Caenorhabditis elegans: one gene and its partner. The protein of the gene in region 2 interacts with the protein of the main gene of each other region in a pairwise test. Each region holds a gene or a part of one and is shown on either strand. Other genes may lie near its edges.

Region 1 (11,434 bases), on a different chromosome or scaffold from region 2:
AATTAGCTTGATGAGGTAAAATTGTCTCACCACGATTAACAAACAGGGTGGTCTTCCGTTCCATGGGCCGAGCACACCGAGCACAACGACGACAGGAGGTGGTAGCATGGGCAACTGAAAAGTTTCAGATTCATCTAATGAAATTAAATTTGAATTCAAACAATACCTCCATCTAATGCTGCTCCAGAAATGCTCTTCATAGCGTTATCCTGTAAAACTGCAAACTTTCGATCGTATTTCTCATGAGCTTCTCGCCAGGCAGCTTCAACTCTAGGATCCGGTTGAACAATTATCGGACGGCTTTCAGTTTTGGTCAATGGGTACAACATTTTCGAATTTTCATGCAACTGATCTCTCAATTTATCATATTTTGCTCTTCGATTATCTCTCATCACCATATCATCATGAGCTTGACGAGCTTTAAATTCTTCCAGCATTCCAATTGATTGTCTGAAAAAATCTTATTTTTGGATCATTCGCAGCGCGGTTTTACTTCGTGGCCGTGAAATAAGAAGCCTCGGTCAAATCAGTGGCCGAGTTTTTCCTTTTCTCTAGGCCACGTAGCAAAAACCGTTCTGCGTGAAAAAGAAAACGAACTTGAAAGTCTGATTCCTTTCAACTTGATTTGTATGTTTTAACCCCTTCAATCGAGCATCTCTCCATCCATGTTCATCTGGTCTCTCAGCCCACCACAACCAATTTTTATCCGACGGAGCACCGACTCTGCTCATTTCCATTTGGAATTCCAACTGTTTTCGAGCCATTTCTTTAGCATGTTCAATGGATTTTCGTTCCGCTTCTCGAGCATTCGCAAATCTGAAAACATTATAGGCGTAGGTAGGCGTAGGCACTTGAACAGGCATAGCCTATGAGTGCGATAAGATTGAGGTAAGAATGAGGTTCGCGTGTAGGCAGGCATGAGGTAGGCCGCCAGGCCAGTTGGCAAAAACCATGGAATAGGGATAAACTAGGCATATAGGCAGGCAAAATATACGCATGTGATAAGCACAAAGGCAGATAGACATGAGGCCTATAGGCAGGCTCGTAGGCAGGCGTGAGAAATGGAATGGGTAGGATAGATATGAAATATATATATATAGATATGGAATATGTAGGTTTGAATTCGACAATCACTGTAGCCGGCGTGAGATAGGCAACAACTAGGCAAGAGGTAGGCAATCAGGTAGGCATGAGATAAACATTTGGCAGGAGCATTGTGAGGGACCGGTCTTAGAGAACACTTAGGCAAGGTAGGCATGTTCTACAAATGAGGTAGGCGTGGGATAGGCATATAAGGCTTGAACTAGGCATGAAGGTGGTCTAGAGGAAGAAGCCTACCTAGTGCCTTTTCAGTTCTTGCCGCTTTCAAAACAAAACGGTTTTTGAAATTTGTGTGCGACATTAAATTTTAGATTTCTCTGTATGAATCTTGGATCAAAATACTAAAAACAAAAGTAAACAACTTACTCCAGCGCGGCTCTCGCATTGCTCGTCGCATCAATCGCCTCATTTTTCTCAAATTCGGCAATCCGTCTCAATCGTTTCTCTTCGACTTGTCTATCGAGTTCTGCTCGGTATGCATCCTTCCGTGTACGCACTTCAACATCTCGACTTCTAGGAGATTCGTGTCGGAATATATAGTTTTCCAGCTGAAAATATATACAACTGACTCTGAGAAAGAACATTAAAGTGAACAGATTGCGTACTACTGGGGATTTAGGTCTTCTCTTTTTCATCTCAATCATTTCAGCATTCACACGATCGACATGATCTCGAAGAGCTTTATTCCGTTCCGCTTCTTCCTGAAATTAAAAAAATTTATTGTAGAGAAATTAATTATTGAAAATAACTCCCACAATAGGTCATAACTAACCCTTTTAAAAGTTTCTTCCTTTTCCCTTGTCAAATCTTCATACATCTTTGCTCTCTTCATAGTTTCTTCATATTTTCTCCGTTCCTCTTCTGCTTGACGTCTCATTCGATCCATATATGCATCCTCGGCTTGACACTGAGCACAGATTTCATTACCGTAATAGTCTTCATCAAATTTTGTAATTGTTGCTTTGATTTTCTGAAAACAAATTTTTGGTTTTTTAGTGAACTTCTCGTCGTTGGCAAATTTGGTAATCGTACCTCATTACCACTTTCGAATCGAATATTCCCCAGGTTTTGTTCAATCTCAATCATAGGATCCTGATATTGTCGCTCTGCTCCGAATCCATTCATTACACCTCTATCCACGTCTCTCCCAATATTCTCTCCCAAATTGAATTTCATGTTCATTGGAGGTGTAGATATTCCACGTGGCATTGGATCGTTCGGATAGATTTCCGATGGAAGATCCATTTTATAACGATCAATGTTGGGTAAGGAAGTGTCAGCACCACCCATAAGATTGGCGGGAAGAACTGGAAATGCTAGAAAAAATACAGGAGAAAATATTAATCTTTTTTTTTTTGAAATATTGAGATTTGTTGCTAACCTGGCAAATCGGAGATTTGCTAGTCGAATTAAAAAATGTTAAAAAAGGAAAACTTATAAGTTACAATGAAAACACATAAACTTTTAATAAATCGTAAGAAAAACTATGAAAACTTTGAAATTACAGTACTCTTAAAGGCACACAATTTCCGCATTATGAAGAAACCTACAGTAACCCTGATGAAGAAACCTACAGTAATCTCACCTAAACTCGCATCATCTCTTCCAAAATTCGAGATATTCGCCGGAAGATCCATCATTTCTCGACTGGGATCCGGATCTGTCAAATAATGATGCATCCCGGCAATTGGTGGGGTTCCATTCATTGGTGGTGGTGTGTCTAAAGGTGAAACTGAAAATTAATTATTTGTTGTGAAATCTGATTTTCTTAATTCTACATTGTGTTGTATAATTCTTCATCATTCTCGGCTCATCTGGTGGACGGAATCGTGGAGCTTCAAAGTTATCCAGTGCTTCTGAATTCATCGTTTAATTATAGTTTCGTAAAAGATTCGACATTTAATTTTAAAGGCCCACGCTGCTTTTCCAAATGGGTCCCGCCACGATCGCAGATATAGTAGTGTTTCAAATTTCACATATTTGTTGATTTAATATAGACAAATAAGTTTTGTAATTAAGAAATTCCAATTCCGCAAAAAATGTTTTTTTCTAATCTAAAACCAATGCCGGAGGGGGGGGGTGTGCGCCTTTAACTGATTACGGTAGTTTAAAAAATCGATTTCGCAACTTTCTTCTATTTTTATAGGTTTTTTGCTGTTGGTTTATTTGTATTTTGAAATTTTTTGGTCAATATCAAAAAGGGAGCAATCAATTAAGAAAATTAGAGGAAACAACTACCGTACTCCGCTTAAAGGCGCACACGTCTTTTCAAGAAAATAACACCATTTCTTTTGTTTGTTCCAGGACCCAGAAACATAATTTCTATCTATATTCACTTCACATGATTCAAACCTCTTATCTTATCAGCTTCACTCGGCTCTCGATTTCCCATACGATCATAAAAGTAGACTTTTCCGTACCGCATCCGCAATAATTATAATAGTATTTATATAAATAGGAGGTGTCCTAGAAAATTGAAAAACGCTAAACTAATATAATGACTTGTTGGCGGGTGAGCTCCCTCCGAGATTCAGAATTAGTGCACACTTCACTGCACCAACTAAACTTCCGTAGGTATCTACGAAAAGCAGATCTGCACCGGAAAAGAGGTAAACATTCAGTTTTATTTATATTTACTTTTACTCAGCCTACAAGTTTGAATTTTGCTTATGAAAAGTTGAAACTTCTTCGATCCCAGCATACTAGAGGTGTTCCCAGTTTTCTCAATGCTCAACAAGTGCATAGTATGCACTGCATACCGGAAACCACATTTTATTGGTCGAATCGCTGGGTATACCAGATTACATGCAATAAATTAGGGAAGGCAATTGGTGAGGGAAATATAATCACAGAGTGGGAGAAAAGACGAGATGGTGAGAAGGCACTTGGGGTGGTTTGGGCAGAAGACGGGACGCTTTACTCGACGGTAACTGACTTGGCCAAGTTGCGGGGTCGGTCGACCTGAAAATAGATTATACGTGTACATTTCAAGATTAAGACGATTGTAAACTTACATTAGCTCCATTGAGCTCAGCAATGTGATATGAGAGTAGCTGGAGTGGAATGACTGTGAGAATGTTTTGGACACAATCAACAGTTTTTGGTACACGAAGAATATGCTTCATTCCAGCGAGATCGCCTTCTGGAACGGTGCAGTCGGCAATGATGATTGGAGCTCCTTTGCGAGCAACGACTTGTTGAAGTGCATTCAACGATTTCTGAAAAAATGATTTCAATCAAAAAACAATTCAGCTCATTCTTACCTTGTATACGCGATCGTTACAAACAACCATGCAGATGCTGAGGAACTCATCGACCATGGCAAGTGGACCGTGCTTCAGTTCTCCAGACATGATTCCTTCGCAATGCATGTAGGAAAGCTCCTTGATCTTGAGAGCTCCTTCGAGGCATGTGGCAAAGTTCAATCCTCTTCCCATGATGAGAAGTGATTTCTCCTTGTAGATTTGTTTGGCGATATCAAGAACTTTCTCGTCGAGTTGGAGAACTTCGCGGATAAGTTCTGGAAGATCGTTGAGAGCGTCAATGATCTCTTCACGTCTCTTAGCCATGGAGATTCGGTCATCGGAGAGGGTGAGAGCAAACATAAGCAAGGATAGGATCTGAGAAGTGTAGGCCTTGGTAGAGGCGACTCCAATTTCCGGTCCGGCGTTGATGTGAATTCCGCAATGAGATTCACGGCAAATGGATGATCCGACAGTGTTGGTGACTCCAATTGTGAGAGCTCCACGTGGCTTGCAGTATCTGAGAGCCAACAACGTATCGGCAGTCTCTCCACTTTGAGAAATGAAGAGACATACATCATCACGGAAGATTGGGGTTTCACGATCCAAGAAGTCAGAAGCAAGTTCGACGACGACTGGCAGCTCAGAAAGTTCTTCAAGGATCTGACGGCATGCGATGGCAGAGTGATAGGATGTTCCACAGGCTACCATAATCAGACGGCGGCAACGCTTGATATCAGGAAGGTACTCTTTGATTCCTCCTAGAACGACTTGTCCCGATGGAAGAACACGTCCACGCATTGTGTTGACTACCGAATCCGGTTGCTCGAAAATCTCCTTCTGCATGTACGTTTTGAAAGATCCCTGAAAAATATGTTTTTATTCAAGTTATTCCCATTTTCCTATGCAAACCTTCATGATCTCCTGAAGCTCCATCTCGAGAAGCTTTACTTCTCTCTTTTGCTCTCCATTGTCAGCGTGTCGAGAGATGCGATGGATAGTCAGAGCTCCATCCTCGACGAATGCAACGTCATCATCCTCTAGGAAAAGGACTTGCTTGGTATGCTCAATGATGGCAGCAGCATCCGAAGCGACGAAGTATTCAACCTCCCAATCGTCGGAGTCGAATGGACGGACGGCCGTCGTGCTGTCGGAGATCTCCATCTTAGCAGATCCATTAGACGAACGAACGGCTGAAAAAATGGAATTAATACGTTTCACTTAAAATTTGAGATTGGGGATATTGAGATGAGTTAGTTAATTCGCCCAAGGATTTAGAAGTGGAGAAAGAGTTCAAGAATAATCATGCTTCAAATTTCTACCGTTCAGAGAATTCATAAACGCTGACAATCTTCTCTGGGAATCATCTACATTCACCGGCAAGTTGCAAACATCTTGGGAACCTAATATGCTATTAAAAATTCATATGAAAGTGGGAACCCATACCGATTGACAGGTCCAGAATGTTGTTTGGAGTCTCGACGAACGATGTCTCATCTCGCACTGAAAAATTGAATTTAATATCAGAAGAAGGTTGGAAAATGGTAAACTTACAATGAGTAGCGTGGTTGGACATGAACCGACGTCCTGAAAAATCATATTGATTGTTAATAAAATAGATTTTTTTAAAGATCATGCAAGGTTAGGTTAGTTAAGCAGTGATTAAGCATTTCAGGCAACCAAAATAAACCCAGGGAATAGCATTTTTAAATTTACCATCAGTTTGTTTTTCGTCTCCCCATTTCCACCCAGCATCTAAAATGTATGAAATTTTTGAATGTCCGCCTCGAAACGACTTAGAAATTGCACCAAAAGTTTCAAGAACTAACCTTTAGAGAAAGAGACTGGGAAGTGATTTGTCTGGAGTCTGGAGTTGCTCTTGATACCGACCAACAATGGGGATCCACGTCTTGAAGCAACGAGTTGTCCTGGGAATCGAGATGACTTGAATGCAAGAGCGAAAGCTCCTTCCAACTGTTGAATGACAGTCTCCACAAGTTGCCGGAACGAGAAATCCGGGTAACGATCGTGAATGTGTTGCGCAAGCTTCGCGATGACTTCCGTGTCGGTCTCCGACTCAAACTTGTGTCCCTTCTTCTCGAGATACTCCTTGATTTCACGATAATTCGTAATGATTCCATTGTGAACAACGAGGAACTCATTCTTGTCGTTACTGCGATGTGGATGGGAATTGACATCACGTGGAGATCCGTGAGTTGCCCAGCGAGTGTGTGCAATTCCGCAGTGAATGTTGTACTCCATATCCATGTCAAGATCGCTGGAGCTCTCCTTGATGAAATCGCTGAGCACGGACACCTTTCCAGCTTTTCGCAGAAGTGCTACCGAAGAATGTGGTGATTCGATCTCATTGGATCCGTCGATGGCGATTCCTGCAGAGTCGTAGCCTCTGTATTCCATTCTTTGCAATCCTTGGACTAAAATATCCACGATTTCCGATCGTTTTTTCGGTGTCAGGAAGTTGAGGTAGGCGAAAATTCCGCACATTTTGGATGGTTAGTATAGGTGATACCCTGAAAATTATAAATGTTTATGAAAAGGCAGAGATTTAAATAATGCAAATTTGAGGAGAAACGTGGTGAAAATGGAAATTATGTAAAAGCGAACACATAACACGAATATGAATGAATGGATGAATGAGATTTAGAGGAGGGATTGCGACAAGTTCAGTGTAAACATTAGAAGGAATGGGCTGTGATGACCCGAGAAACGGCCGCTCCTCCCGTCTCCGCCGAAGCACCAGATACCATCTTCAACGGCCCGAACGAGGAGCCTCTTGATACTATTCTCTCGTGCCCTTTCAATAAGAAAGAGGCACGAGACGGCAGACACTTTTTGCTGCCTTTTTTGCCGTGTTGGACCACCCCAAAAACAGCACGATTAGGAGGAATTGTGAGAGGAGCGCGAAAGGAGAGAAGCCGAGAGATAGGCGGAGAAGAAGAGGAATAGAGAAACTAGGGAGACGACACGTGGAGCTCGACTCTTTCATTTCAATTTAAACATAAAATTAATTTCCTTCCTACTAGCAGGTCAGGTGTTAAAACAATAAATACACCTCATAACTTTTTAGCCTTTGAAAAATTGATAACGGCATACGGTTCTAATTTCCGGCTGGCGCATCACTGACCAACATCAGGACGAAAATTCTGTGAACCGATTCATCAAAAAATGTCTGAATACGTTGCAAGAAAGTGAAAATAGAAAGATCTCCGGCCAACTGATAACTGATAGCAGTTGGCTGACAAAGGTCAACTTTTAAATTTCTGCCCCACCGTTGCAGATATAAAATATTTGAAGGGAAAATGTTAGATTTGAGATCAAAGCACAAGCGACACGTCCAGCATTGAGAACAGTAAATTTGCATGAGAATATAGAAAAATTTTCTGCGAAAAAGCTGACGTTAAATATACGTTGCGTAGCGGTGAGAATGCAGATAAGGGGTCAACGAACAAAACAATAAGGAGAACACATCGAAAATCAAAAGATAATGAAGAGAACGACTCGCCTTTATAGACATTTTGCCGCCATTTGTTTTAATGAACTCTGCTCTTTCTTTTTTCGAGAACGATCGAAAGATCATCAAAACACAGTGTGTAGTTTGATGCCGCGGGTCTCGCAACGCTCCGGTTGAGACAGGTGTGCGCCTTTAAGTATACGGTAGGTGAGAATCCTCACTGAGGATATTTTCAGGCATGGAAATTTTCAAATTAAATGAAGAAAATATCTAAATCAAAATTTAAACCATCAACCTCTGCACAGAAAATTTTTCCTTTCCAAATATACATGGTAGTCTTGCGTCAGATCGGTAATATAGATCTTCCGCAATCTGATGACCTCTTCTTGAAGAAGATCTTCACGTGAAACCCACAGAAATCAGAAAAATTTGTTATTTTCAAATACTGCACGGATACAATCGTGTCTGTGAAAGATCGACCGGAAATTTAAAAAAAATGAGAAAGAAGTCAGAAATATAGTGATAAAAAATGGTAATCAAAACAGGTATCAAACAAAAAAACAATGAAATAAAAATTATTCGACTTTGAGATTGAGTTCTGCGTAGAAAGCTTTGATGAAAACCATCCATTCCTGATCGAGCCCGAGGTCATTATTGAAGCTTGTGAAGAAATCGTTGAAATTTGTGGTATCGTCGAGTCTCACGGCGGCTTGTGCAAGAAGGATGAAGAATTGCGGGAGGAAGAGATTCCGAATCTCCTGAATTTCTTTCCGGTGTACACGCATTGGATCTCCATTAGCACGTGGGCTCAAAAAGTACTCCGGGCGCACACCAATATTGTTAACCAGCCCACGGAGCATCGGAAGAACAGTCTGAAATTTCAATTTTTTAAAATTTTTTTCACAACAATTTATTCTAAAAATCCTACATCTAAATGTTGTTGAACCATTCCAACTCGCGTATTATGCTCGGCGGCTCTCTTTTTGAGCACCTCTTCCCGCAGAGTTTGCTCAGCACGAGCTCGGACTCTCAGTGAAGCTTCCCAGTCAGCAGCTGTGGTGTTGTCGAGTCGTTTGACTCCTCCGATCATGGAAAGCTCATCATCAGTGATCGGTGTGTACTTGAACATGAGCCCAAGTTTCAGAGCAATAGTGATCATGAAGTTGTTCACATCCTGAAAATTCGGATTTTAAAATGGCCAATATGAAATTGAATATTATTCAGCAGCGAAATTTTGAGTACGGGGTCTCGACACGACAAATTTTTGTTCAATACGAGACGGTTTGCACCTTTAAAGATTACTGTAATTTTAACCAGTGGTTAAAGATTCCGCTGATTTGGATAAGAAATCATACCACGAAAGAGCAGAGCCCATAAAATTCCAGAGCCGCGTGTTCGATTTTATTAATTGCCAGCTGCGATCCAGGTTTTTGCTCAAACAGGGTTCCATCAGTGATCAGTGAAAGTACAGTTGCTTCATTTTCAACAGCTTGTGACAATAGCTTAGGAACTTCGAAATGAAGCGCTTTTCGAATAATTTGCCTAATTACAGACTCGTCAATCGGTGTCGACAGCATCACTTTACGAACTAGTCGATTACATTCTTCAAGAGCAGCCAGTGCAGTCTCTTCTCCACCTATCAAAAGCCAATGCCAGTGATCAATCTGCTCTTCCAAAGTTACAACCTTCGTTTTGTCATCTTTTCTGATTTGCTCAATAAGTGTGCACGCACAGCGTCCGAAATCAATGTCAGATTGTTTCAGCGACTCAGCCAGGATTTCACGTTCTTCATCAGAATCGACAGCTGAAAAGAGAATTTTTTTAAAAATCATCATCAGTTTTTAAATTACCTTTCATAGTCTCCACAATCTCTGGAAGCTTCATATCTTCTGGGAGGAATCTTGAATAAAATGCAGCCATTTTCTTGTGTGATGAGGTTCCACTGCGTGCACGAAGATCATCGAATCCAAGAATAATTACAGCATTTCCATCGTCATTTGGTTCGAAACCACTCGCATAAGAAACTGCGACGAGGTGGAAGAAGATGTCGAGTGCGAGCATGTTCACTTGACAATTTTTATCATTTGGAACAAATTCTCCGACTGTTTCATTTGCGAACTTGTACAGATCTTCAATGTCATCATTGAGCATGTCATCGATCACTCGGAGTAGGATGTATACTTCTTTGGTACGATCAGCCTCTGATCTCAGCTCATCTAAGATTGATTTTGAAGTTAGTGGAACGTTGAACAACGTCGAAATAGTTTCCTGTGTCATGGCTCCCTCGGCGGCAAGAATTCTTGCGAGAACTGCAGAATTTGCATATGCCCATACTTTTTCAATCACTGACTTTCCAGCTTTTAGCATTGGTTGGATATTCCCACGAATCGCAGAAATCAGCATCCAGTAAGCATCATCTTCGCTCCCCTGCGATTGTTCTATCAATTTCTGTGTCATCTGGTAGTACTTTGCGCGTCGAGATCTTTTATATTCCCCAAAGTTCTGTTTAGATGCCTCTAGTGGAATATCAAGTGGGTTCCGGAGCATCGAGTGAAGCTGAAGTTGAGCTCCGATCGCTCCCATTCCTAGATCAATGGCTAAATTCGCAGCTTTGGAAGTTTCTCCACTTCGAATTAATTGGAAGAAAACGTTCATCGCCATTTGCTCGAGAGCTTGATCTTCTTTGGTACCAGGAGCATCTGGATCCAGTGAAGCATCTTTTGGAGCATTGGCTGCTCCAAATGTTGGTCGTTTCAAAGCCATCATTGAATTGATTCTAGAAGATTTGATTCCTTCGAGTTTCCGAACTTTGTCTCCAAGACCTTTTTCATATTGCTGTTCGCTGATCGCTTTCTCACTCCAAAGAAGAAGAGCCTAAAAAATTAGAAATTATGTGTTTAATTGAATAAAAAGTCTAAGATCTTACATAAATCCTTCTAAACTCCACATCTTCTACAACTAGTTTGCTAAGCAAAGAAACTTCCACAGTCTCATCATATTCATGAGCCAACGCGGTATAAATTGAAAGAACACTGGCGATTTGCACGGCTTCATTCGCGTATTTTTGTGAACTGGCGGAATAATTAGATCCTGCAGGAAGTTTTCGAGTCTGCATTTCTACTTCTGAATAGATCTGAAAAAATATTACATTTATCAGAGGCCTTTTTCAAGTGAATCAAACCTCATGAAGTCTGGTCCACATAAGTGGCGAGATTTGCCCTTGAGGAATATCGAACTCTCCGAAAGCCAATGCACATAATTCGTGGTACAGTTTTTCTGAGAGATTTGTGTGAACTGCAAATTATATATTTTTAAAATAGTTTTCCTTTCGCATCGAGTGTTAAACTCACAAATTGTAGTGTATTTGAAAGCGGTTTCATTTTTGCGCGCGATTTCATCGTTAGAGTCGTCGAAGGAGTTGGAAGAATTGTCCCCCGAAGCGAACAAGTCTGTCATTGTGCTAAAAATATTTTTTTAAAGGAAAATAAAGTTTTAAAAACTACATGAAACAGAAAAAAAAATCGTTTTACACGACGAAAACCCTTCGAAATTTGAAAATTTTTGCTTAAACGAAAATAATGGTAGTGCGCTCCATTGAGAACACAATGCGCGGACTTTC
Region 2 (9,448 bases):
TTTCGAGATAGCCATATAGTAGTAGTACGTAACAGTTTTCAATTTCAAAAATTTGGTGGAAAGTTTTATTAAATGTAAATGAAGAAAAAAAATGATTATAGAAATATGAAATTTTGATTTAAAAAATCATTTTATTGATGAAAAAAACTTATCAGATAAGCGCTTATAGACCGCAATTTTTTTCAGAAATTAGAGTAATTATTCAATTTTTAGAAAGATTTTTTTGTCAGTGAGAAAATTTTTTCAAGCCACTCCTATAGTGCTCAAATATCATAAGAAAATGTTTAAATTTTTTATAATGTTTTCTTTCAAAAAGTGGTGAAAACTCAGTTTTCAGATAAAATAATTTAAACATAAGAAAACAACTTTTTTTAAATTTTAAAAGTAGAATAAAAATCTATGAAAATTAATTCAATGGTGTAATCCCTTAAGTCTCATCCTCATGCATCAGTTCCACTCTATAATTTCTAAAAGTAAACAAGGAAATGTACATATGTATATCTTTCCCCCGAGGAAAAAAGCAAAAACTGAATGAATATTTTCACTTCCTGATTGAAACATGTGGATCACGAATAATTTGTTTTTTTTTCAGGCTCAAAATATCAATGATGAGTCAGGTAGCAGCGGATATGGTAGTCCGACCCGAACACCTTTAGCGTCACCTTCAAATGATATATTCAGTTGTAAGTTTATTTTTCTTTATCATTGATAAGTTGAAAAAGCGAGAGTAATGCAAATTTTTTTGAACGATACTTTAATATTTTCTGCATTTTGCAGTCGAAAAAAAAACGAAATCCAAAAAATTGTAAAGAGCATTTAAATTTCAACGGAATAACATTTGATTTCAGCTGTGCTTCCGCTTCAAGTCCAACGAGCGTTTTCAGCACAAAGTCCAGAAGAAATCACTCGTCATTTTGGAGTTTCACCGAGTCCGCAGGCTGTGAAGCCTGTTCCAGAAGTTCAACAACAACGTGAACAAGCACAAGTTTCACAGACATCTGCTCAGGGTCTTGCTGCAGTAGATGGATTTTCGATGGCAGAAATTGCTGGTTTTGCAGAACTTTTGTCTTCTCCAAAGAAGGTTGGTGAGGGGATGAAAATTGAGGGAAATTTAGAATATTCTGTAGAAAATTTTAATTTTTGACTTGCAAATATGGAGATTAATATTTTATTTTATCGAAAAAACGTTTCAGACCCCTCCACCACGCTACCAGTGCCACATCTGCTACGCTACAGGACATCATTACATCTCCGACTGTCCACAGCGATTCAACACTCCATATGATGAGCTGACACCTTACCAAGGCAGAAAGAAGTGTTATGGAGAGTTCACTGTAAGTTTTGGAATTTCGATTCCATGTATGACTGTTAATGTTTCAGTGTCAACTGTGTAAACGCAAGTGGAACAGCCAAAACAGTGTTGCAAACGAACCACAAAGTTGTATAAAGTGTCATGTTCCAGTATTTCCACACAAACAAGTAAGTATTGAATTCGAAAGAAAATAGTGTCAGCTAATGAGTTTTCTGAATCTCGTGATAAGGAAAACATCTAGTAAACTTGAAGTGCTCTGCCAACTGTTGAGTGTCCTGATGATTCCATTAAGCTAGTTAAAGCGTAAATTTTAATCTCAATCCGAAGACGTTTGTGCAGTATGTTCGGCATTACCTCTATCGTTTAAAATAAATTTATGGTTAACAAAATTCACACATTAACAAACAGGCCCACCCATATCTTGGCATTTTTTCACTAAACAACCACATACAGTAACCCAAACATGCTAGTTTTGATTAACTGCTTTTCTAATTCAATCATTTATGAAGCGTTGACCAAATATAATATTACAATAATTCACAAATTGTTCACTTTGTTATGTTTTTAGTTACAGTCCAAAGGTGGCATTTACTCAATCTTTAGTTATCCCTAACTTTGAAATTCAACATGTAATTGTTTTTATATTTTAACTATTTGTATTTGAATTCAAATAATGTAAGGTTAAAACCAGCAGTGCTCGTTTCTCTCAAAAAGTAAATGTTTTTTTTTGAAATTTAGGAAATTTACCAAAACTTTAACGGTAAATTCGAAAAAAACTGAACATTTTTTGAAATATTCATGAACGAATGTCTGGTTTTAATTTTCCAAAGCTGAGAAATTACATTTAAAATTCTATAAAAATTATTCAACTTTATTTTTTTTTTTCAGTTGCCCGTAGAAAAAGCAGTGACACTTGGTCTCATCAAGGCTCAAAATGTCACAAAAGTAGCCCCAATTGGACACGGAAGACCTCCAGCACGGAAACACGAAGAGATATCACGTCGTCATTGATTTTATTGACAATGAAACAAAATAACATTCTCTAGTCGATATAGGAACCCATTTGTCCATCCTATTTGTATCATATTGTTTTCTTCACAAAATTTCTGCTAGATTTCTATGAAAATCAGAGAGCTTTCAATTCTTCTCCACTTTTTCTATTTTGTGTGTACATGTCGTTCCTAAACCATTTTCCCTTTCCCATCCCACACTTTCCATGCCGCCCGACCACTTTCTCAACTGTCTCCAGGTACTCTGTAAATTTCTGAATTTATTCATCCTGAAAAACTCTTTCTATATATTTGATGATCACTTTTATTTCTTCTTCATCTCTATACTCTTTGTCTGTGTAAAAATTTTATAATTGTTTTCTTTTCACCATTCACACCCCGGTCTTGTAATAATAAGTGTAGGTTTCAAGAGAGTAATAAAAGTGTATTGAGAATAAAACTTTAATTATATAGAAATCTTAAACACACCCACTTAGAAGTCTTGTTTTTTTTTCTATTTGAAATATATTTGAAATATATTTGAAATATATTTGAAATATTCTTAAAATTTTAAGTGAACCCAGAGAGTAAATTTATTAGTGAACTCAGAGAGTAAATTATTCTGGGAACACATAGATTAAAAAATTCGTTACCCCCCCCCCCCCCTACTATTTTTCGCGAAAATTTCCTCGTTCCCCCGCTTACAATTTTTTTTTCCAAAAAAATTCCTCGTTACCCCCCTTACAGATTTTTTTCAAAAAAAATCCTCGTTACTCTCTTTACGATTTTTTTTCCAAAAAATTCCTCGTTACCCCTTCTAAAATAGTACTGTAACGAAGCACTGTAATATTGGACCTAGAATGGAAACTTTAGAGCTAGTGAACTGCCAGAGTCACTATGTTTGGTGAACTGCCAGAGTCACAATTTTTGGTGAACAACCAGAGTCACTATTTTTAGTGAACTGCCAGAGTCACTATTTTTAGTGAACTGCCAGAGTCACTATTTTTGGTGAACTGCCAGAGTCGCTATGAAATATTGAAAACTGTCATCTTTTTTTTTTTGAAATTCAAAGCAGCGACTTATACACTGTAAAAAATAATATGAAAATTTGAAGAAGTTCTGTCCATTTTAAATTTATTGATAATCTAGACTTGAAATTCTAACCCGCTACAGTAAACCACCACACCTGCACATCATACCTGAAAAAAAGTTTTTTTTTCTGGCGCGCGCGCAGCACAATTTGTATTCTGTTTTTTGTGTGTGGCTCCTTTTTCATTTTCCTAAATTTTTGGCGTTTCAAAACCAATTTATCTATTTTTCCTGATAGTTGCAATTTGCCTATATTTTGTTAAATACTAATTCTTCCTTCATATATTTTTATCTAAAGTTTTGTATAATACTTTTTTTAAGACTAATTTTTTCAGCCGGAGGTCTCGATAAAATGTTGCGAGTTACTACAAGCATTAGAAAAACCACGAAAAATGCCGTTGGGCCAAGAACAAACCTGGAGGAAGTGTTGAATTGTATCGCTATGGCTGAAGACATTTACAACTACCTTGTTCATCACGAGAAGAAATATGTTCTTGACGACAGCTTCATAAATGGAGGAAATGTTAATTCTAAGATGCGCCGCATCCTTGTTGACTGGCTTATCCAAGTTCATCTTCGCTTCCACCTCACCCCTGAGACGCTTCACCTGACGATTTTCGTTCTGGATCGAATTATCGTGAAGAACATTGTCTCCAAGGCGGAATTCCAGCTTCTCGGTGTTGCAGCTTTGTAAGATCGTTTTTTTTGTAAAATTATAGATAATCTTTTGTAGATCAGAAAATTAACAATAGTTTTTATGCAATATTAATGATTTCAGGTTCGTTGCCTCCAAATTCGAAGATATTTACTTGCCAGACATCCTCGAATACGAGATGATCACTGATAACACATTCAGCAAGAAGCAGATAATGGCTATGGAACAGACCATCCTCAACGCCTTGAACTTTGACTTGTCCTGCCCATCTTCGCTTGTCTTCCTCCGCTGTATTTCAAAAACTCTCACAGAGAATGACGTCAATCCAATCGATAAGGAAGCGTTCTATTATGTGCACAATATCTCCAAGTGTCTCGGAGAACTCGCATTGCTCGATTCGGTCATGTCTACGGTTCCAAGGTCGCACGTTGCCAGTGCTTCGATGATCATCACTCTCAATGTTATCACCGTTGATGGAATTAATCCGAAGACTGCTGCATCGATGATTCGGTAGATTCAATTTTTTTCGAAAATTTTACAAGAATTTGTTTCAGCAAACAATTAGGAGCCTCCAAGCAAGATATTTATGATGCTATCGCTCTGCTCGCTCAAGTCGCATATAAAAACTTCAGACATCAGAAGCTTTGCGCCATTAGAGTAATATATTTTTACAAAATGTTTACTCAGTTTTGTTTTCAGGAAAAGTACCAGTCGAGCAAGTTTGGACGAGTATCCTACTTGATGACCGACGAAATCTTGGAGAAAATTCACCGGATGGGGCGCAACGTTGAGGCTTCAGAAGCTGAAACATCAGAAATGGAATGAGAACTATACTTCATCACCCAATACGTTCCTGTGTTCTGCTTGTTTCCCCATTGCACTTACCTTCGGCTTATATTCATGTACTTTTTCTGTTCCATTTCCCCAATCTTCGAAATCTCTAACACATCGTATCAAATCTTTTTCGCACCTTCTTTTGTATCTATCTCATACTAACTTATTTAGTCTTCACTCCTGTCCAAATCTGATATTTTAACTAGAATGAGCAAAAACTTGCTGATGAAATCTATGTGCTATTAAATAATGTTAAATGAAATAAGCATAAATCTTGTACTAAATTGTAGAAATTTACAACATTATTAAAACAACCAGATACAAGCTAATCTTGCATTAAATAGTTTATTTGCCTTTTTCTAAAAAATTAAAAAATTGGGAAAGTAATATTTTTTGAACAGCGCGCGTTTTCAAAACCGACGGCCACATTAAAAGCCTCTTCCATGCTTCGTGTAATCCGCGAGGACTATCATCATATTTATTTTTAGCACCTGGTGCGTTCCATTTTTTTCCTGAAAATTCGAGTGCTTGCGCAGATTTAAAAAATTTTTACTTAAAAGATGTCTTCATTTTTAAACGCTGAATTTTTATGTGCTTGGTAGTTTTCAAAAAACTAATAAAACTATTCAGCGTTTCTTAAAATCATATCAAGTTCAAAATTTCACTGACTGAGAGTTCCGATCAATAAGTTTTATAAACATCTCATTTTATTTCCTCCTCATAAATAAGTATTAATTAATAATTATTTTGAGTACATTTTCAGGTATCAATGGTGGAGGCACCGGGGACTTTTGTAGAGGTGAATGACACTCGAGTAATTATTGGAAAAGGACTGTCACTCGATTCAATTAAATTCCCTGATTTCCACATGTTCGACACAAACTGGAAAATGAAATTGCATGCCGAATGGAGCGAAGAACTTGGAACCGACGTAGTTTCGATCAAGCTTCGGCACCGGAGGAGAAATGTTGATGATATCTGGAGTATGGATGCAACAGTCAAAATTCATTTTGAACAAGACTGGCTGAAAGGCGAGGTACAAGTAGATTCCCAATTTTCGAATCAAGGTCAAGAAATTGAGATTCCCAACTGTGGAACGGTTGTGGGCAAATTAAATTCTTCAGAAATCCATCTCTGTGTTCACATATTTATGCAGGTAATTTTGAATGCATTTTCAAATTCATCTACGTTTTGTGAAAGTGTTCCAGATAAATCAGTCAAAAGGAATTCAACTTCGGAACTACATCGACTTCGCACGACCAATCCCCATTTTTTCAGACACTATAGTTCTGGTGGATGGCGTTAAATTCCATGTAAATCGAATGGTAAATTTGAACAACATTAAAATGAAATTCCAATACTATTATTTTAAAGATTCTCTCAATGGCTTCGCCTATCTTCTTGGAAGCATTTGTCACTAATTTCGATGAAAGATCCTTGGAGTTGTGCAATATCTCTGCGCCGGATTTTCGTCGAATTCTTAACATTATCTATCCACCTCATCTGCCTCCAAAGCAGTGGATCAAAGGTTTTTTGAATTAAAAATGTTGAATAAACCAGTTTTTTTCTAGAGAGTGATTTGGTTGAGCAATTCGAACACATTCAACGGATTCTTCGAATTGGAAAATCACTTCAAATTTCAATCGTGTTGGAAGTTGCTGACAAATGGCTGGTTAAATACGGGCGGCACAAATTAGGAGACACACTTCACTTGGCACAAGCGTTCGGGCTACGGGAGTTGATGGTGAGTGTTTTTTTTTTAATTTATTATCAGGTGATGAATTGAAACAATTTCAGGGCTCCAAACTTGCCAAGATGCGATCTTTAGAAGAAATAAAGAAATGCCAAGACCAAATTCAAGTATTAAGTTGCAAGACGAAAGCCCTGATTCTGGACCGCATTCTAAGCACTCTGTAGACCTGCACACGTTATTCATAATTCTAATCACGTCATTATTTTTTTAAAAGAAGCTTCTATCAGCTTTATATCGCAAAGATCCTCACCAAACAATCTGTCATATTTTTACCATGCTTACTGTACCATTGTTATTCACATCGTTTTAATAATGAAATTTGTTCTATTTTCATTACAGAAAGTTAGAATTGCAACATATGTAGTTCAAAATGTTCAGAAGAGACAGCTGACAAGTTCTTGTGTGTTCGAAAGTGTGCAATTAATGCAGTGTAATTTGAGTGCTCGAGTAGATTCATTCAATGATAAGACATGAACTTTGTTAAATTTCAATTTCGCGGTTTGTCTCCAATTTCGAATTTTATTCGAAATAATATTAGTTGCTGTATTATTATTTCATCTCAAAAATAAAAAAAATGTGTATATATTTAATCCTCTAGAATAAAATTTAAAATGCTTATCAATTGATGAATATTATTGTTTATTGTCTACCAATTTCTATATTACACATAGTTTCCCGCCTGCGCGATAGATCCTCCGTTGAGATCTCATAAGAGCTCATTTGCCTTTGAGAACAAACATTCTGATCTTTTCACTCTCTCAATCTCTCAATTTCTTTTCCTTTTTCTATTCGATTTGTATAACAATACCCTAATCCATCGAATATTAAATTTCAAAGAAATGTGCCGAAATCTTTTCGTGAAACCTGTTATAGTCTCTATAGAAATTTTAAATTTCAAAATTTGTGTCAGAATTGTGTCAACTTCTCAAAGAGTTCTCGAAAGTATGTCTTTCCATTTTGAAATCTTTTTCTTCTTTCTATCTCTAACTCTATTCTACTTTCATTATCTCTGGGTTTTCTTACCAATTTGTCATCGGTAATACAATTAAATCCTCCTTCTTCACTCTTTTACAAGAAGAAGGGAGGTATGGAAGATGGATGAGCTTCACGAAATAGAGCAACTCGCAACATATATGGACTTTTTTCTCTTTGAATATTTTCATTTTCATCGGAGTTCTTTCTTCTATTGTTGTAGGCCTGAATATGGTTTGAAATTTGAAGTTATTATTTTCTGTTCCAATGATAGATTCAAAAACTTCAGAAAGTTTTTTTGGATATTTGCAGTGCACCATATTATCATTTTTTCAAAAGAATAAACTACCAAATACCTTCGAAGTTCTTATAGAATAGAATGTAGAATATAAGTTTGGGAAAATTCATGCTGGAGCCCTCGTTTTTAAAAAACAGTGGAAAATAATTTTGGTAGATCTATACAACTAATTACAAGTTGTTTTAACTTGTAAATGCTTTATCATTTCATAGATGGCAGAAATATCGCCTAACTTTGAAATATTAGGTACTTGGTATAAATCTTTTAAAAAAAGTCTATATTCTCAGCATTCCTGCCAAACTTTAACAACTTCATGCCAAATTTTGGCAACTTCTTGCCACACATTTGTAATTTTCTGACAATTTTTTTCTGTTGAGAAGCTCACCTAATAGCTAACTGCTATGGACTTGTCAACTGATTTGAAAATATTTTTATAAATTAAACAGTTGTTGCGAGAAAATATAGTTGAAAATTTGGTAGCCCGTTTTCAGTGTATTTTTTAACTTCAAATAATAGATATTTTCTTTCTAGGTGAATATTGCATTTTTCATAGTTTTCGGTTCAAGAAAGCTTTCTGCGTATGAAACGATTTTAATTGACTTCATCTGTTGTGTTCAACATGCTAATTTCATATTCTCTGTATCTTCTTCTCCCTCTTACCCATTTGACCTCCCGTGCAATTTCTTATTATGCTCATATGCCGAAAGTATCTTTTAATTAATCTTCTTCCTACTACTTTCTTGAAAGTCCACTTACACTTTCAAGCGTTTCCTTTCATATTTTCACTTCTTCCATCTTCACACTGTTTAGCTAAATCAAAATTGTATCAACTTTCAGATCAAATTCGAAGTTCAAAAGAATGTGAAAATCAAATAAAATGACACTAAAGTCTCCGAGTTGTCTCATTTTTCTCCTTTTATTCTTATTTTCTTCAACTGTGAACTCTCAAAAATTAGCTGTAGTGGTGATTGATGGACTAGCTGCAAACACATTTTATAAATTTTCCCACTTATCAGTTTTTCGGACTTTTGAAGAAGAAGGAGTTTGGTCGACAAAAGTGTTCCCGGTTTTTCCAACTTTTTCGATATCCAATAGGCATTCTTTGTTAACCGGTTTGTTTTTTTCTTTTATTTGTACAGAAATTGAAAATCTAATAATCTACCGCACGAATTGATTTGGTTGGATCACGCTTCCAGGAATATGTTTATGGCACTTGAAAGTTTTTAATAAACCGATTTTTTAAAGAAATATTTCGACATTTTCAGTACTAGATTATTTTAATAACAGTAATAGGAAAACGGCAGCCGCAAAATACCCCAGTCCTGCCATAAAGTTTTATCGCGTCGAAACCCATCCGAAAAATTTTGAATTACAATAAATTAGAACTGGGCTTCGCCAGTTATTTTAAATGGAGCAAGGCAAAACTGAATTTAAATCTGCAAAAAAACGGAAAGAATTATAGGTAAATTTCCGATTTTAGAACTATGGACTATCTAGTTAAAATAAAACGTATCCGATTCTATAACTTCATACAATTATTTAAATT

Evidence for each region.
Region 1: the proteins of cyb-2.1 (region 2) and gfat-1 interact in a two-hybrid assay, tested with the Caenorhabditis elegans proteins (one large-scale study listed by BioGRID).

Annotation. Positions count from the first base shown.
Region 1 is NC_003280.10:11,588,535-11,599,968, forward strand, and holds gfat-1 (glutamine--fructose-6-phosphate transaminase (isomerizing)), read right to left. Parts: upstream 6,876-11,434; 5' UTR 6,849-6,875; coding exon 6,173-6,848; intron 6,099-6,172; coding exon 6,060-6,098; intron 5,931-6,059; coding exon 5,898-5,930; intron 5,847-5,897; coding exon 5,790-5,846; intron 5,537-5,789; coding exon 5,256-5,536; intron 5,208-5,255; coding exon 4,365-5,207; intron 4,320-4,364; coding exon 4,116-4,319; intron 4,063-4,115; coding exon 4,018-4,062; 3' UTR 3,859-4,017; downstream 1-3,858. Other genes in the region: F07A11.1 (uncharacterized protein), read right to left, coding at 1-114, 167-450, 598-816, 1,468-1,649, 1,707-1,802, 1,874-2,071, 2,134-2,408, 2,687-2,833 and 2 more; npp-5 (Nuclear pore complex protein 5), read right to left, coding at 8,391-8,687, 8,744-8,989, 9,171-9,619, 9,666-10,689, 10,742-10,948, 10,997-11,109, 11,166-11,271.
Region 2 is NC_003282.8:10,982,260-10,991,707, forward strand, and holds cyb-2.1 (G2/mitotic-specific cyclin-B), read left to right. Parts: upstream 1-3,725; 5' UTR 3,726-3,742; coding exon 3,743-4,080; intron 4,081-4,168; coding exon 4,169-4,555; intron 4,556-4,599; coding exon 4,600-4,702; intron 4,703-4,744; coding exon 4,745-4,870; 3' UTR 4,871-5,167; downstream 5,168-9,448. Other genes in the region: Y43E12A.2 (3CxxC-type domain-containing protein), read left to right, coding at 593-683, 849-1,081, 1,194-1,334, 1,381-1,479, 2,201-2,323; Y43E12A.3 (BTB domain-containing protein), read left to right, coding at 5,649-6,035, 6,088-6,204, 6,254-6,407, 6,451-6,623, 6,677-6,796; F13H10.5 (glycerophosphocholine cholinephosphodiesterase), read left to right, coding at 8,780-9,014.